Caenorhabditis elegans: one gene and its partners. The protein of the gene in region 2 interacts with the protein of the main gene of each other region in a pairwise test. Each region holds a gene or a part of one and is shown on either strand. Other genes may lie near its edges.

The links.
Region 1: the proteins of npr-3 (region 2) and Y39B6A.7 interact in a two-hybrid assay, tested with the Caenorhabditis elegans proteins (one large-scale study listed by BioGRID).
Region 3: the proteins of npr-3 (region 2) and spig-12 interact in a two-hybrid assay, tested with the Caenorhabditis elegans proteins (one large-scale study listed by BioGRID).

Annotation. Positions count from the first base shown.
Region 1 is NC_003283.11:19,145,151-19,150,816, forward strand, and holds Y39B6A.7 (SGNH hydrolase-type esterase domain-containing protein), read right to left. Parts: upstream 4,008-5,666; 5' UTR 3,998-4,007; coding exon 3,923-3,997; intron 3,875-3,922; coding exon 3,638-3,874; intron 3,466-3,637; exon of another isoform or gene 3,301-3,465; intron 2,880-3,300; coding exon 2,705-2,879; intron 2,659-2,704; coding exon 2,379-2,658; intron 2,244-2,378; exon of another isoform or gene 2,171-2,243; intron 1,979-2,170; exon of another isoform or gene 1,901-1,978; intron 1,670-1,900; coding exon 1,525-1,669; intron 1,367-1,524; coding exon 1,212-1,366; intron 746-1,211; coding exon 628-745; 3' UTR 503-627; downstream 1-502. Other genes in the region: cpg-23 (BPTI/Kunitz inhibitor domain-containing protein), read left to right, coding at 151-275, 333-392.
Region 2 is NC_003282.8:11,458,422-11,463,714, reverse strand, and holds npr-3 (Neuropeptide receptor 3), read right to left. Parts: upstream 3,732-5,293; 5' UTR 3,724-3,731; coding exon 3,562-3,723; intron 3,092-3,561; coding exon 2,939-3,091; intron 2,820-2,938; coding exon 2,736-2,819; intron 2,178-2,735; coding exon 2,041-2,177; intron 1,907-2,040; coding exon 1,691-1,906; intron 1,030-1,690; coding exon 738-1,029; intron 693-737; coding exon 606-692; 3' UTR 516-605; downstream 1-515. Other genes in the region: C10C6.3 (PH-15 domain-containing protein), read left to right, coding at 1-106. UniProt on the Caenorhabditis elegans protein: G-protein coupled receptor for flp-15 neuropeptides. Receptor activation assays suggest binding to predicted flp-15 peptides, GGPQGPLRF-NH2 and RGPSGPLRF-NH2. Likely involved in Gi/Go-coupled signaling pathways.
Region 3 is NC_003282.8:16,380,876-16,384,243, forward strand, and holds spig-12 (BHLH domain-containing protein), read right to left. Parts: upstream 1,341-3,368; 5' UTR 1,303-1,340; coding exon 1,195-1,302; intron 1,046-1,194; exon of another isoform or gene 1,022-1,045; intron 920-1,021; coding exon 680-919; 3' UTR 503-679; downstream 1-502.

The DNA of each region.
Region 1 (5,666 bases), on a different chromosome or scaffold from region 2:
GTCAATTTTTGTGTTATTAATTGGTTTTTACCGAATTCAAAAATATCAAAAACGAAAAAAGTTACAAACTTTAGAAATTTGAAAAAAAATTTCGAATTTTTTCCCAAAATTTCAAACTCCCGCCAAATCGTTCAAAATCAATATTTCCAGAATCTGTAAGCTGCTCAGCAACCGCATATCGTCTCTTGTGCTCTTCCGGTGCTTCATCCCAATTTGTGTATCGATGGGAAAAAGTGGGCGGGGTCTGCCAAAGTTTCCCATATGGGTATTGTTTGGTGAGTGATTTTTTGGCGGGATTTTTGAAAAATCGATGAATTATTTTTTTATTTCAGAAAGAGCAAAATGTTGCACATCCAAGAACCCGGGAAGAGTGCGAGCAGTTTTGTGATTGATTTTTTAAAATTTTTTGAAAAAATTTTTTTTCCCGAAATTTTAATTTTTTTTAATTTAATGATTTTTTTTTTGTTTTAGGCACTATTCCAAGCTTTAAGTTTTTTGCAAGAAACTATTTATTTATTAATAAATTTTGTTTATTGATTAAAATAAAAATAAAAATAAAAATTCAGAGATCAAATTTACAGGAGATCAATTTTTTCAAAATTTTTTTCCAAAAAAAAAAAAAAACTCTTAAAAACCCAAATTATCCAATTTCAATATTTTCTCTGCAATTATTACATGAGCATCTTCATTTGGATGGAAGCTGCCGTACTCGTTGCCCTGGAGACGCATACTTTCGTTACGGGACCTGAAATACGACAATTTAGAGAAGTTCCGGCGGAAAAATTGAAAAACTGTTGGTTTTCACACAATTTAATTAAAAAATTCGAATTCAGCTCATTTAGACCTTTAAAATAACACCCATCAAGACTATTTTTTAACCAAAAAAAATTGTTTCAAGAAAATGTTGGGTCCCACCACGAAAATCTACAGTAACCTGACCTACTGTAACCTGAGCAAGCTGAAACCAATGTCATTGAATTTGTTTCACCGAGACCTTTAAAATAACACCCATCATGCCTGGGTTCTAGCAATTTTTCATATTTTGGGTCTCGCCACGAGGGTTACTGTAGCACCAACTTCAGCTGTGTCAATATTCAAAGTTATCGGAACTTAGTCATGTGGGGTGTCATTTGAACGCTCTTGATGAGACAGAAACAGTCAAACTATTTTCAAAAAAATTGGAGTACAGTACTCCGGGTTACTGTACCTACCGTATCAACGAATCCTTTGAACAAATGCCACGTGTCCTGAATATTTCCGTAGTGTCTACGGTAACCCAGCCATGTTGCTTTGCTTTCCGTCGCAGTAGGTTATTGAGTTTTTGGAAGATTTTGCGCTCGGCGAGCTGGAGATTTGGTAGGGAGACCTGGAAAGAGAAAAAAAATACAGTAATCCGGCAGAGCTTTTTGGAAAATTTTTCGTTAAAAAATATTATCAAAAAAATTAATAAAATTAAAAATAATTTTTCTCAATGAAAATCAATAAATATCGATTTTTCTTAATTTTCACTTAAAACAACCATGCCTGTCCAAAAGCGCCGCAAGACCCGTCCACCACTCCCTTCTCATTTCTGGTGACGTCATAGTAGTCAAGAATAACTACGCGTGTAATATTAAGCTCCTCAAGACGTCTTGCAACCCGATCGATTTGATGAGATACGAAAAAGAATCTGGAATAGATGTAATACTGTATGAAATTTAAAAAATCAATTAAAAAATCAATTTTCAAAAAAAAATTTTTTTTCAAAAAATGCTTTAAAATTTTTAAAATTTTCAGAAAAATAAAAAACAATTTTTTTTCCAAAATAAAATTTTGTTTTCAAATAGTCCGTCGTCCAACTAATTTTGTCAAAAAATCTTATCTAAATCCGTCAATTTTCAACCGAGCTACATTGATATCAAGTTGGTGGCCTAGAAATCCAAACCTAGGCCACCAACTTCAAACCGTCATAACTTGGTGCTAAATTGACGGATTTGGCTCAAATTTTCAGAGTACTTTGAGCAAAAATGGCGTCAAATTTGTGAATTTTTGTCCAATCAAACAATTTTTAAAAATTGAAAAAAAAACTTTTTTTTTTTAATTTTGATTTTCTCAGAAAATTTTTTCATTTTTTATAAATAAATATTTTGATTAAAACATTGAATTTAAAGAATTTTGCTCATAAAATTTCAGCCAAATCCCTCAAATTTCAACAGAGTTACAGTGGTTTTAAGTTGGTGGCCTAGAAATCCAATACTAGGCCACTACCTTCATACCGTTATAACTTGGTGGAGAATTGACAGATTTGGCTAAAATTTTCAGGGTAGTTCGAGCAAAAATAGCTTCATTTTCTTATAATATTTTAGGCAGAAAATGTAAAAATATAAAAAATTTCAAACCTCATATCAAAAAATTTCTCATTCAATTTATCCCGTTGAATCATTGAAATCACATCCGTAAACCCGATATCATTGCCCCCAACAGTCAGAAAAAGCACATCTGGCGGGGCTCCGCGAGCCAAAATCATCTGCTCCAACCTCTCCATTTGTCCATTTTTCGACAAGATTCCATGATCTACCGTACTCCCAGAACATGATAAAAATGAAAGAGATGACGTCACATTTTTGATTTTTTGAGAAACTAAGTATGGAAATGCTTTGGAAGATCTGTAACACGAATCTGAAAAATATGTTGGGTTACTGTAGAAATGGGGTACTGTACCTACCATCTAACCATTTAGCGGGTGAGCCATGTGTCATTGGAATGTCCGGATTTCCTTGACCAGAGGAGTAAGAATCACCGATTGCTGCTAGCCAATACGGCTTGGCTGGAGGACTTATCAATTCTGATAGGAACTTTTGAGTTTTGAAAGGTGTTGATAAGGTGACGGAAATGATAGTCTGAAAGTTTTGGAGTTTTTGGAGCATTAAGAGCAAAGTTACAGCCACCTAAAGTTTGGTGGTTGCGTCGCGGTCGCGTCGCGGTCTCCCTAGTAATTTTTAAACTTTGTTGTTCATTAGAAGCCAGCTTCTCACAAAACTTCACACAAAAAATTTCAGACTTCTAGGACGACTGGGAGCAAAGTTACAGTCATGCAAAGTTTTCAGGCGCGGCGCGTGTCGCGTCGCGGTCTCCTGTTCAACTTGAAAGCCTCGTATCTTTCTTGAAACTGGTCCTAGAGCTCTAACATTTTTTGAGTGAAATTTGCATGCATATCTCGACGCAAATTTGGCGTTATGGCGCATTTCTCGTGCGTTGGCGCATTTCTTGAGCCTTGGCGCAATTCTCGTGCGTTGGCACATTTCTGGTGCCTTGACGCAGTTCTAGTGACTTGGCGCATTTCTCGTGCTTTGGCGCATTTTTCGTGCCTTGGCGCAATTCTCGTTTCTTGGCGCATTTCTGATGCCTTGGCGCATTTTTCGTGCCTTGACGCATTTCTTGTGCCATGGCGCATTTCTCGTGCATTGGCGCATTTCTGGTGCCTTGGCGCATTTCTTGTGCCCTGTCGTCAGTATAGTGCCTTGGCACAATTCTCGTGCATTGGCGCATTTCTCGTGCCTTGGCGCATTTCTCGTGAGTTGTCGCATTTCCCGTGTATTGGCGCATTTCTGGTTTCTTGCCGCATTTCTCGTGCCTTGGCGCTTTTCTCGATACCCACCTCACTACTACTAAGCCTTATCACTTGATTGCAATCCCTCGTCTCCACCACCCGATCTCCGACTTTCCACGTCAGCCACGTTGACTTTGACATTGTCAAGTGGCAAACCGACGCATTTACTGCTACAGTACTCCTGATGACGTCAGCAGGAGTCATCCAAAGCTCCGGATTTTGCTGGTATACGGTAGTCACCCGGAAGTTTAAAGGCGCAGATGATGGCAATTTTTGAAATGAAATCTGGGGAATTATTGATTTTTGATTTTTTTGGTGCAAAAAAGGAATTACCATATTATTCCAGCTGATAACCATCATTTTTGGGAAATTTATCAACATTTGCACAAAGTATAAAAATGCCAGCATATTGTTTTCTGAAAAAAAAATGTGAAGAAAATTGGAACATTATTGAATTTTTAGAGAAAATATTTTAAAAGCACAAAAGCCTAAAAAAATCCTGGGAAGCTCATTTGAAACATGGCGCATCAAATTCCTAAAAATCGGTGAAATGAGCAGCCGACTCTTCACAGGTAAATCTGAGCCTGAAAACATGGTGCATCGAGAGCAAAAAATTTCAATTTATGATTGAATCCACCCGAAAAATGTCGGCTGCTCTATATAAAATCACGGAAATTGTGAGATTTTGGGAAATTTACAGAAAGCACCCTAAAAACCCAAAAATTCAGAATTTTCACCAAAAAAGGGAACTCTCCACACTACTGTCTGTAGCGGGGGAGGGCTTCATCTTCCGCCCCATCTGGACAACCGACAAAAAGAAATAGAGATCAAAGGAAAAATGCCGCCGCCCCTCTTTTTGATTCTCGACCACACATGCACCAAACCGATAAACTTAATTCCCTAAAATCCTTAACTTTTTGGCGGGAAAAGGCGGTCAACTTCAAAGAGGCGACACACTGAATTGAACACTGCAAAGAAGTGCCGACAAAGGGGAATTTGTTGCCAAAATTGAAGTAGATGACAAAATCTATACAACAAAAATTATAATATAAAAAAGGCCGGAAAATAAGCATGGTGCATCGAAAGCAAAAATTGAATAAATTTTCTAGAAATTTGCATAGCAGCAGCCGACACCTGCCGGTTGGGTTTTTGTAACAAAATTTTTTTTCAATAAACTAAAAAGCCTACAAAACATGTTGCATCGACAGGAAAAATTAACTAAAATTTCAAAAATTTGCCTAAAACCGGCTTGATAAGCGGCCGACACCTGCTTGGTAATTTTTTTTTTTGAAAAAAAATGGCTTGAAAAACTGAAAAAGCCTACAAAACATAGTGCACCAACAATGAAAATTGCAATAATTCCAAAAATTTGCAAAAAAGATAAATCTAGCATCCGACACTTGCCAGGTAAATTTTTGTGGCAAACTTCTTTAATAAACTAAAAAGCCTACAAAACAAGGTGAATCGACAATGAAAAATGGCATAAATTGCAAAAAAAATTCATTAAAACCAAATTAATAAGCAGCCGACACCTGCCGGTTGAGTTTTTGTGGCAAATTTTTTCAACAAATTAAAAAGCCTAAACACTATAAATTTTTGCTGCTTAAATGATCACACTACCTCAAAAATTAGTAGCTCAAGCATCCGACATTTGCCGGGGCAATTTAAATGACAAAATCTCTTTAACAAACTAGAAGACGTACAAAACATGGTGCATCGATTAAAAAAAAGATTTTCACCAAAAATTGGTAGATCAAACAGCCGCCATTTGCCGGGAAGAGGAAAATTGCAAAATTGTTTAATAACATGGTGCATCAACCCCAAAAATTTGCCAAAATTGTTTAAACTTTATACTTTTAGCTGCTAAATGGCGTTTTTTCTTTTGTATAAACTTGTGAAAACAGCGGCGGACACCTGCCGGGTTGAAATAAATTACTAAATATTTTGGAATAAATACTCAAAAAATTTTCAACTTTCACATAATTTTCCTAATTGCTTAGAAAAAGCAGCCGACACCTTCCGGGTCTAATAAAAACTTAAAAAAACCAAACAAAACTAAAGAAAACGTCATTTCTCG
Region 2 (5,293 bases):
AGCCTCATCATTAACACCAAGTAATGCGTTGACACCTGGAAATGAGGATAAGAAGAAGATGACGACGGATTCGGAGGAAATTGAGCTTCACGAAAAGAAGAAGTAGAAAGAAGAAGAAGATTGCTTCGAACTTTTTTTGAGTATTTGCCTTTTTCTAGTATAAATCTTTGGTAGTTTGTAACAAAAGTTGTATTCACTGAATTAGGAATGGAAATGGGCATTAGAGGTGTGCAGCAAAACGTTTGGACAAATTATAATATTGCCGGTTACGGTTATCTACATTAGACATTTCCAGCGAGGCGTGACGGGGGCACCCAGTGCATCAAATATTAATCTAGAAGAGTTTGAAATTATAGAAAAAATCCGATTAATTCGGAATTAATTTTCCTTTTTTTTGAAATTGTCAACAAGAATGTGAAAAACAAGCTGAAAGTTGTATTTTGTCGAAATCATTTTAACAGGTTTTTTTGGCAAATGACAATTTTCAGAGACTACTTGTTTGTCAAACAATATTTTTTAGAACAAATACAATTTATTAAAGCTTTTTATCTAACAACCCGGTAGAATCATCACAGATTAGTTTCTAAAATTGTTAATCAGTTCGTTTATAAAAGTTGATCTCCAGCTCGATAGTCGTTTTCAGCAATTGTGATTTTTGTCTTTGTCGATGCAATTTCTGTTTCTTTTCGGATCTGAAGTTGAATTTACATATACTTTATTTTTTTAAGCAAACGAACCTCGGAGAAATTAGTCGGATACGAAACCATTTTACTGGTAGATTGTGGTTTCTTCTTGATCAATCTAGCTTCATCAGTACCCTTGAACAAAGTGGTGATACTTTGTCGGAATTGAGGATTGAACCAGGAATAGATGATTGGGTTGAGCACAGCGGAGCACATTGCGCATACGTGGCAAAGCGCAAAGACTGTAGAATACCATTTAGAAATTCCAAATAGGTCACGGTAGAGATTGACTGCATTGAATGGCATCCACGCGAGAACGAATCCAACAACCATTACGATCATCATTCTGAAATTAGAAAAATAATTTGAAGAAATTCCTGGAATTCTCCAGATTTTGTTTCTTTTGGAAAAATGATCATACATAGTCACCATCATAATCATCAGTCATGCATACTGCAGTGAATACAAAAAAAGAATGTAGTCTCTTTTGTTTGTTTTATTTTTTTTTGCTTCGTATTTTATTTCCCTTAGGAGTTCCTGGTTTTTGTCAAATTATGCAAGGTTTGACATGCTAATACAAATGACTATTTGTGTCTTTTGCAACGGGGTACAAAATTTGCAACAAAAAATAACAGAGAGAGCTTAATAATTCAGGTTTGGGGATTGCAGAAACGTGCCGATTCGAATGTTGAAAATGTATTCAATTGATGCAGAATTAATAATATATTACAAACGAATTAAAATCAGATCATCTAAAAATTATGAAAACTTCGTTAAAAAAATTGGGTCGAGTAGGGTTTTGGGAAATTTTTGAGTAAATTTGTTTGGATGGTAACACGGAATTTTTGAAGTGAATCAACTCTTTTTTTTCTTGAGAAACTGAATTGCACAAATCTTTCAAGGAAAAATTTCTTAAGTTTTGGAATTTTGTCCATTTTCTGACAAATGATTCACTTTAAAATTTATAATTTTTTCTTAAAAAAAAAAGAAAGTTTTGGAAAACAAACCGATTAGCTCTTGTCTTTCGATTCACCAGCTTTGTTTCAGATTCCGGTCGAATATTGTGCCCTCTTCTTCTTGCTAATTGATCTGACATCACTCGACTAATCATCCAGTAACAAATTGAACTTATCAATGCAGGAATACCAAATTGAAGTACCAACACAGAAAGTCCATAAGCTCTTCGAATTCCCGATCTTCCAGTATCCGGATTGAAATCAGGCCTGAAAATGTGATTAACGTTTTTTAAAGAACAGAAGAGCAAGAAAACATATATGAAAATAATTGGGATAATTATGGGAAGTGAAAAAGAAATAATGCAAGATAATTGGTCAAATCAATGAGACAAATGACGCACCAATTCTCTTCACAGAATGTGCCGCAAATTTCGTCGTATACTGCAATGTCGCTGTAGATGCCTACAGGAAGTGCTAGAGAGTATCCGAGAAGCCAAATGCAGAAAACAATGAAGACAGCTCTCGGGAAATTTACTATCTGCAATTTAAAAATTTAGACAAATTATATAGATTATTAAATTAAAAATTTTATTTTAAACGCAATTTTTAAATTAAAATCAAATTGTATCAAGGGTATTTAGATCGCCATGAAAAGGATGTTATCATGTTAGAGAATCACCTTTCTTCAAGCTTACGCCCCGGTCGGCCTGGTATAAGGCTTTTAACGGGTAGGCGTAGGTCGCCTTGAAGACAGGAAGGTAGGTTAACACAGTTTCCCGATTGAAAAAACGACTACAAAACGGGAAAGTTGAAGTCCTTGATTGTCCAAGGATCAAAATAAAATGACCAGTCTAATTATTTTTCCCGCCTTTCAGAAGATCATATTCTGAAGAAGAACAAGTTTCCATTAATATTGTACTTAAACACACAAAGAAATACATAGAAGATTTTTACTTGGAAGACATTCTCGACAATAATACATGGAAAAAATAATGAAAAGAGGCATAGAAAAAGAAGGCTCCAAACCACATCAATTTTTATCTGCTCAGAAAAGTTTACTGCAGAACTTCTGGACTGTTTTTTGGGGAGAGCCTACCTCCTGATTTGGACGTAGAATTAGTACACATCTGTCCAGAGCAATAACTGTTAATGTGAATGATGAGACAAAAATCGTACCGCCCTGAAAAGTTTCTGATTTTAATTCAAATTTCTGTTCGCTCCTGTTATTCTGATTAATACACAGTATTTCAGAGTCTAGACATTTATTTATAAATCCTGAAAATCTTATACAAATCTCACCTGGAAAACTCCGATCAACTTGCAAAATATAGCAGGAAATACCCAAACTCTTGAAAATATAGAAATCGCGGTAATTGGCAACGAGAAAAGGCACATTAGAAGGTCTGAACCAGCTAGACATCCAACAAATACCGTCCTAACTGACAGTGATACCTGAAGTTGGCAAATTAGCTTAATGAACTCTTTTCGGGCACTTTGAGCTCAATGACGAATTCTGGAGGTGGTTCGGTAATTGTACTTTCAATCATGTATGAAAGATTCTTGATTCACTAGGAAATTCGATGAATAAAATACCGGAAATTTGAGATGATGGTAGTATCAAAAACAATTTTTTTGAATTGAATGCGAGAAGAGAGATACGGAAGATTTTAATGAAGCCTAAGAACTTTCAAAACTGAAAGTTGAAGTCCTCAAAAATCCTCTTAAAAGGGGGAACCGCTCGTATTTTTTGAAAAAAAAAATTCTATGTAGTATTCTGATTGTTTCAAAAAAAAAATTCCGGAATGGTACAAATTTTAATTTAAAATTTTTTTTTAGAAATTATAACCAAGGTTTTTCAACAAAATAACACTTTTTCTCATATAAACTCGAGAACAAAGTCGATTTTTCTCAACAAAAAATACCTGATTAAAAGTGAGTACATAAAGTACTAGAGTGTTGCCAACAATAGCTCCAACCCAAACAAGAAGGTACAGTAACGAGAATATTGCTCTTATCTGGTTCATATCATTGTATTCAGGTTGCCACTGTTGTACTGTCATTACACAGTTTCGACCACCCTCCATTTTGATTTCTGTAAATATTTAAAATTTTTAAATTAAAATTTTCAAAAATTCCAGAAGAGGAGAACAAAAATATATAGCCAAGTCGTTGGGGTGAAATGAGAGATTGGAGAAAAAACAGGAAACGAATATTAATGAGGATTCATTGAGATTGACAAGGAAATTGGGTCACTAATATGATCAGAAGAAAATTTTGAAAAGAAAAAAAACCATCATAAAATGGAAATTTCAAAATTTTCAGCACGGGGAACTCCGCAACGACACCCTACCGTTGTAGCTCCCACTCCGTATTGTTAATAAATTTGAAAACATTTTCAAGGTTTTCATACACTCGATTCCACTTAAATTCACAGAGTACCCTAGTTAGAGCTGACAACAAAATTCACAAATTCATGGAGCCGATTTGAAAGAAAATACACCATTTTAAACATTAATGTCAGCGAGCCTTCTCTCTTAGAAATAGCAGTTACGTATTAAATATGAAAAATTATGTTCAATTTTGATGCGATTTCCGGAAGGCACACAAGGATTCTGAGATCGCAATATTTAAGTCGTGAGTTTTCAAAAATAATATAGCTTAAAAATTCAAGAAAACTCTTAAAAATAGCCTATTATCTGAAGAACACGGAAAAACAAGGATCCTCCAACTAAACAAAAACATAGAACCTAGAAATTATAAAAATGATGTCTAGAAAAATGTGACATCTATAATCAATGTCTTCTCCGAAAAGAAAGTGAAAATGACTCATAACTAGAAATTTTCGCCGAACAAGATCAAGCCTGATGCATAATGCAACTCCTCCTGCTTCCTTCCTTTAAAAGGCGGAGCCTGAAGCAGCTTCAGCTTTCAAGGCTTAAACGTGTGTTTCTTCTTTTTCTTCGTTCACCCCTAGCGGTTATTACTGGAAACACGAAGAAATTATTGTGAATGAGGAAGGGAGGCGGGAGTCTGTGGGGGAGTGAGGAAAAGAAGAAGGAAAAAATGGCAGGGTGCAAACTAATTTCCATTTTTCCGACCGACTTATTTTCTTTACTAATAATTGACAAAAACGACAACACGTGTTGCATAACATATGAGACAAGTAGGTTGTTTCAATTACACAAACGGACCTTTTCTTCTTGCTCCTTCCACTTCAATTGACTTCTTTTTCTGTGACAAGTCGAAAATGATAAAAAAGTACTACTACAAAAATGGGAGTTTTTCATTGAAAGGGAGTTTATCAAAATTACAGTACTCTTTTATGAATCGGAAAATAAAGATTTCCTGCAGAGACACAAACTTAAAAAAGATGTACGGTAAGAGTTCAAGAATCTTTATAATTTATGATGTTTTCAGAGTGAGTACAAGCCTATGTTATTTTCAGAAGCACAAATTTGCATAGGCAATGAAGAAAAAGGCCTTTTGAAGGGTGGTTTCGAAAATAGAGGCAACATTATTTCGGAATTTATAGATGCTAAGGAAATCCAAAGCAATGTCGCATGTTCCAACCCCTACAATGTTTTGATACAAATAATTAAAACAAAATTACAGTATAAAAAATGTAGGAAAACCATTTTTTGGTCGACTTCCAAA
Region 3 (3,368 bases), 4.9 Mb from region 2:
CGGTTTTCAGAAACTCCGTCTTATTGGAATAAATGTTCTTCTGGTGATTCCCTACAAATTGCAAGTTTAATTTTAAAATTCAATTTAAAACAATTACTGTTTCAAAAAAATATTTTCAATATAGAATTTTTTGAACTGACTAGTATGCGGTTTTTTTTGGGAGCAAGTAACTATTTTTTGTTGCCCATATTTTTTTCGGCAGATTTTTCTCAAATTCGCTTCAGTTTCCAAAAAATGTCAAATTTTGATAATTTAAAAATTTTACTGTTTCAATGAAATTTCATAGTTTTGAATATTTTTTCAAAAGGTTTCACAATTTTCCTAACGTTTTGTCAGTTATTTCTAAACTCAATTGTCTGCTTAATGCAAATCCTAACAAGCTAGACACTAAAAAATTTTTTTGCAACTATTGGAAAAAAAAAGTTTCACTTTCTCAATGTCCATTAATTATCACACTTTTCATTTCTTCACTCATCGTTTTTTTTCACAGAAATAAATGATTCAAGGTCTTTTTTAAGATTTATTATATAGTTTTTTAGTGTTTTTTTCAAAGAATTATGTACAGAATGAATAAATATAAGTACCCGACATGAAAATTGACAAAAAAAAGTTCACAAAAAATGTAAATTTTTGTGAAAAATTACAAAATAACAACTAAAACACTAATGTCTAAACATTTCTATGCAGTTGACCTCGGCGATGATGATTCCACAGAAGATTCCGGTGATTCGGGTCTCGACGAGAGTGGGCTCACTGAGGCGGAGGAGGTGAAGAATTGTTCAAAGCCACGTGGCAGCGAGTTTTCTTTCCCGTTGAGCTGAGCCTGGAGCTCTCGGATGTGGGCGATGGTGGCCATGACGAGCTCGTATTGGTCAGTGTCTTCCTCGGCGGCAACCAATTGTCGGAGTCGGTTTGTTACCTGGAAATTTGAAAAATTAGAAAAAAAGTGGAATTTTTATATTTTGAAAAAAAATTTCTGTTTCAGAAAAAAAATGTAACATTTCAAATGTTGTATTTTTAATAATTCGTCGTAAAACCAAAAAAAAATATTTAGACACCAGACTACAAACTACAAAGGAGACGGACGTACGATATTTTTTTATATATAACTAATGATGATGATATTTGGATTTTTCAGTTTCAAATACAGATTTTTTTTTAAATTTTTATTCAAACTTATAAAAAATCACCAACTTTTTCCTTTTCTCTTCTCTCTGCTGACGTGGATTTTCGAATTTTCCTTGATTTTGGTGAAACGTGGGAGATGGTGTCACGTTGTGGACGAGCAGAAATATTCTTCATTTTTAGGAAAAGGAGACGAGTAGTTGAATAGCGGTCTGTGAAGAGTCAGAATGAGAATGGAGGTCCAGTTGGAGGGAGGAGGCGGGGTGTATCTGTGTACACCCAGCTGCTGTCCAGGCCACGCCTACCACAGGTGCGCGCGAGTACGGGTGGGGGGAAGAAGATAAAAGGGTGGAGAGAGGGAAAATGCCGATAGATAGACTGGGAGACATTTTACAACGGTATAACACAACAACAACGAAAAAAAGAAGACTGATCTCGGGCGGGCTCGAACCACCGACCTTCTGTGTGTTAGACAGATGTGATAACCACTACACCACGAGACCGCTGAGAAATGTGGGTTGGCGGGGTCTAGAGGAGCGGGAGGTAAACGGGGGAATTGTTTGGAATTTTTTGAGTACCCTTTTCAATACTCCAAGATGAAACATTACTTTTTACGTTTTTTTTTTAAATTATTTTGAGAAAAAGAAATGTTTAACTTTGTTTTCAAAACTCCGGTAGATCTACTATCATCCAAAATAGAACACATTTCTTAACAATATTCTGAAACAATATTTTTTTTTCAAAAGTTCACGAAAAATGTCAAATACTTCCAGTTTTGTTTTCAATTATTAAAGTTTCAAAACTGTATTTAAAGTTATAATAGTTTGAAAAAATTGAAAAAGCCTATCGACATAACATCGTTCAAAATGGAATAGTTTTTTTTTAAAGATAATATGAAACAGCAAAAATGTTTTGTTTGAAATTTAATTTTACGAAAACTAAATAATTCATTAAAACTGCGTCATTTTCATATGAAAATGTGTTAAAACAGCTTATAATTTTTTTCAAACAATTAAATTTTAAAAAAATCATTCCACTATTTCAAAATGTTCATTAAATTTTTGAAAAAAGTTGTTTCCAGTACTTATTGTTCTTGTAAGTGTAAAGTATTAATTTGAAGAGAAAGAACATCATCACCCGGTACTCATTATTTTACTATACAGATTCGTTGAAACAGTATATTTTCTTTGGATTAAATGGTTTTCTCTGATTCATCAAGATCTGAAATGTGCATTAAAAGTGCTTTCAAAAAGTTTCAAAACATAAGGATTTTGAAACAGTAATTTTTTTTCTTCAAATTTTCTCACAGATTCCACCTGTACTCTTACAAAACCCAATTACTGCCCATACCCGCCCGGAGCAGCTGTATCAATTTTTGCCCCCGAGGGGGCGAGCAGCAGTTGATGAGCCCCTAAGAAGTTGAGCTTTTCCTGCATCGAACAGCTGCGCGCATTTTCACTTTTGCACCCTTCTAGGGGGTCCACAAAAGCAGAAACGACTAGTACGAATTTTGGGCAAAATTGAAGATAGGGGGTCCCCTGAAATGGAAATGTGTGGGAGGGAAAAGAGGCTCTTTGAAATAAAATATTGGGCGAATGGGAGAACACAGAGGGACCGGGAATAAAAATAAAATTTAGTGGAAAATGTTTTCACTGTTTCAATAAACTATTTTCTAAGATTGAGTACTTAATGAAACAATATTCCTCTTTTTCTTATACAAGTGTAATATAAATTTGGTATAGTATAGTTCGTAATAGTCAAACTTTTCTGCAACCAAACTCGGAACGATTATTTTTTTTTAAATTGATAGATTTCTAAAAATTGAATTTGAAATTTTTACTGTTGCAGAAATATAGAAAAAAAACGTATTAACTCTAAAAAAAATAATGGATCTAAAGATTTTTCCTTAAAGTTTTGCATACAAAAATTCAAAAAAAAACCAAACTATTTTCAAATTCCTACTGGATTAACGGGTTTTTTTCAATAATTTTGCAGTCAACATTTTTTGTAAAATGTTGTTAATTTTAAACCACAGTTGCGCGGGAATTGAAAAATATTTTATTTACTTTTTGAATTTTTTTTTACATTTCTTACAGTTATACTTAGCCATTACGATCTATTTTATTAAGACTGTTACGAAATAATTTAAAAAAACAGACTCGGATTTCTATAGGAACGTTAACATTAGGAATTTCCTTTATTTCTAAACTACCTAAAACAGTAGAACAATTTTTTCTCAATTT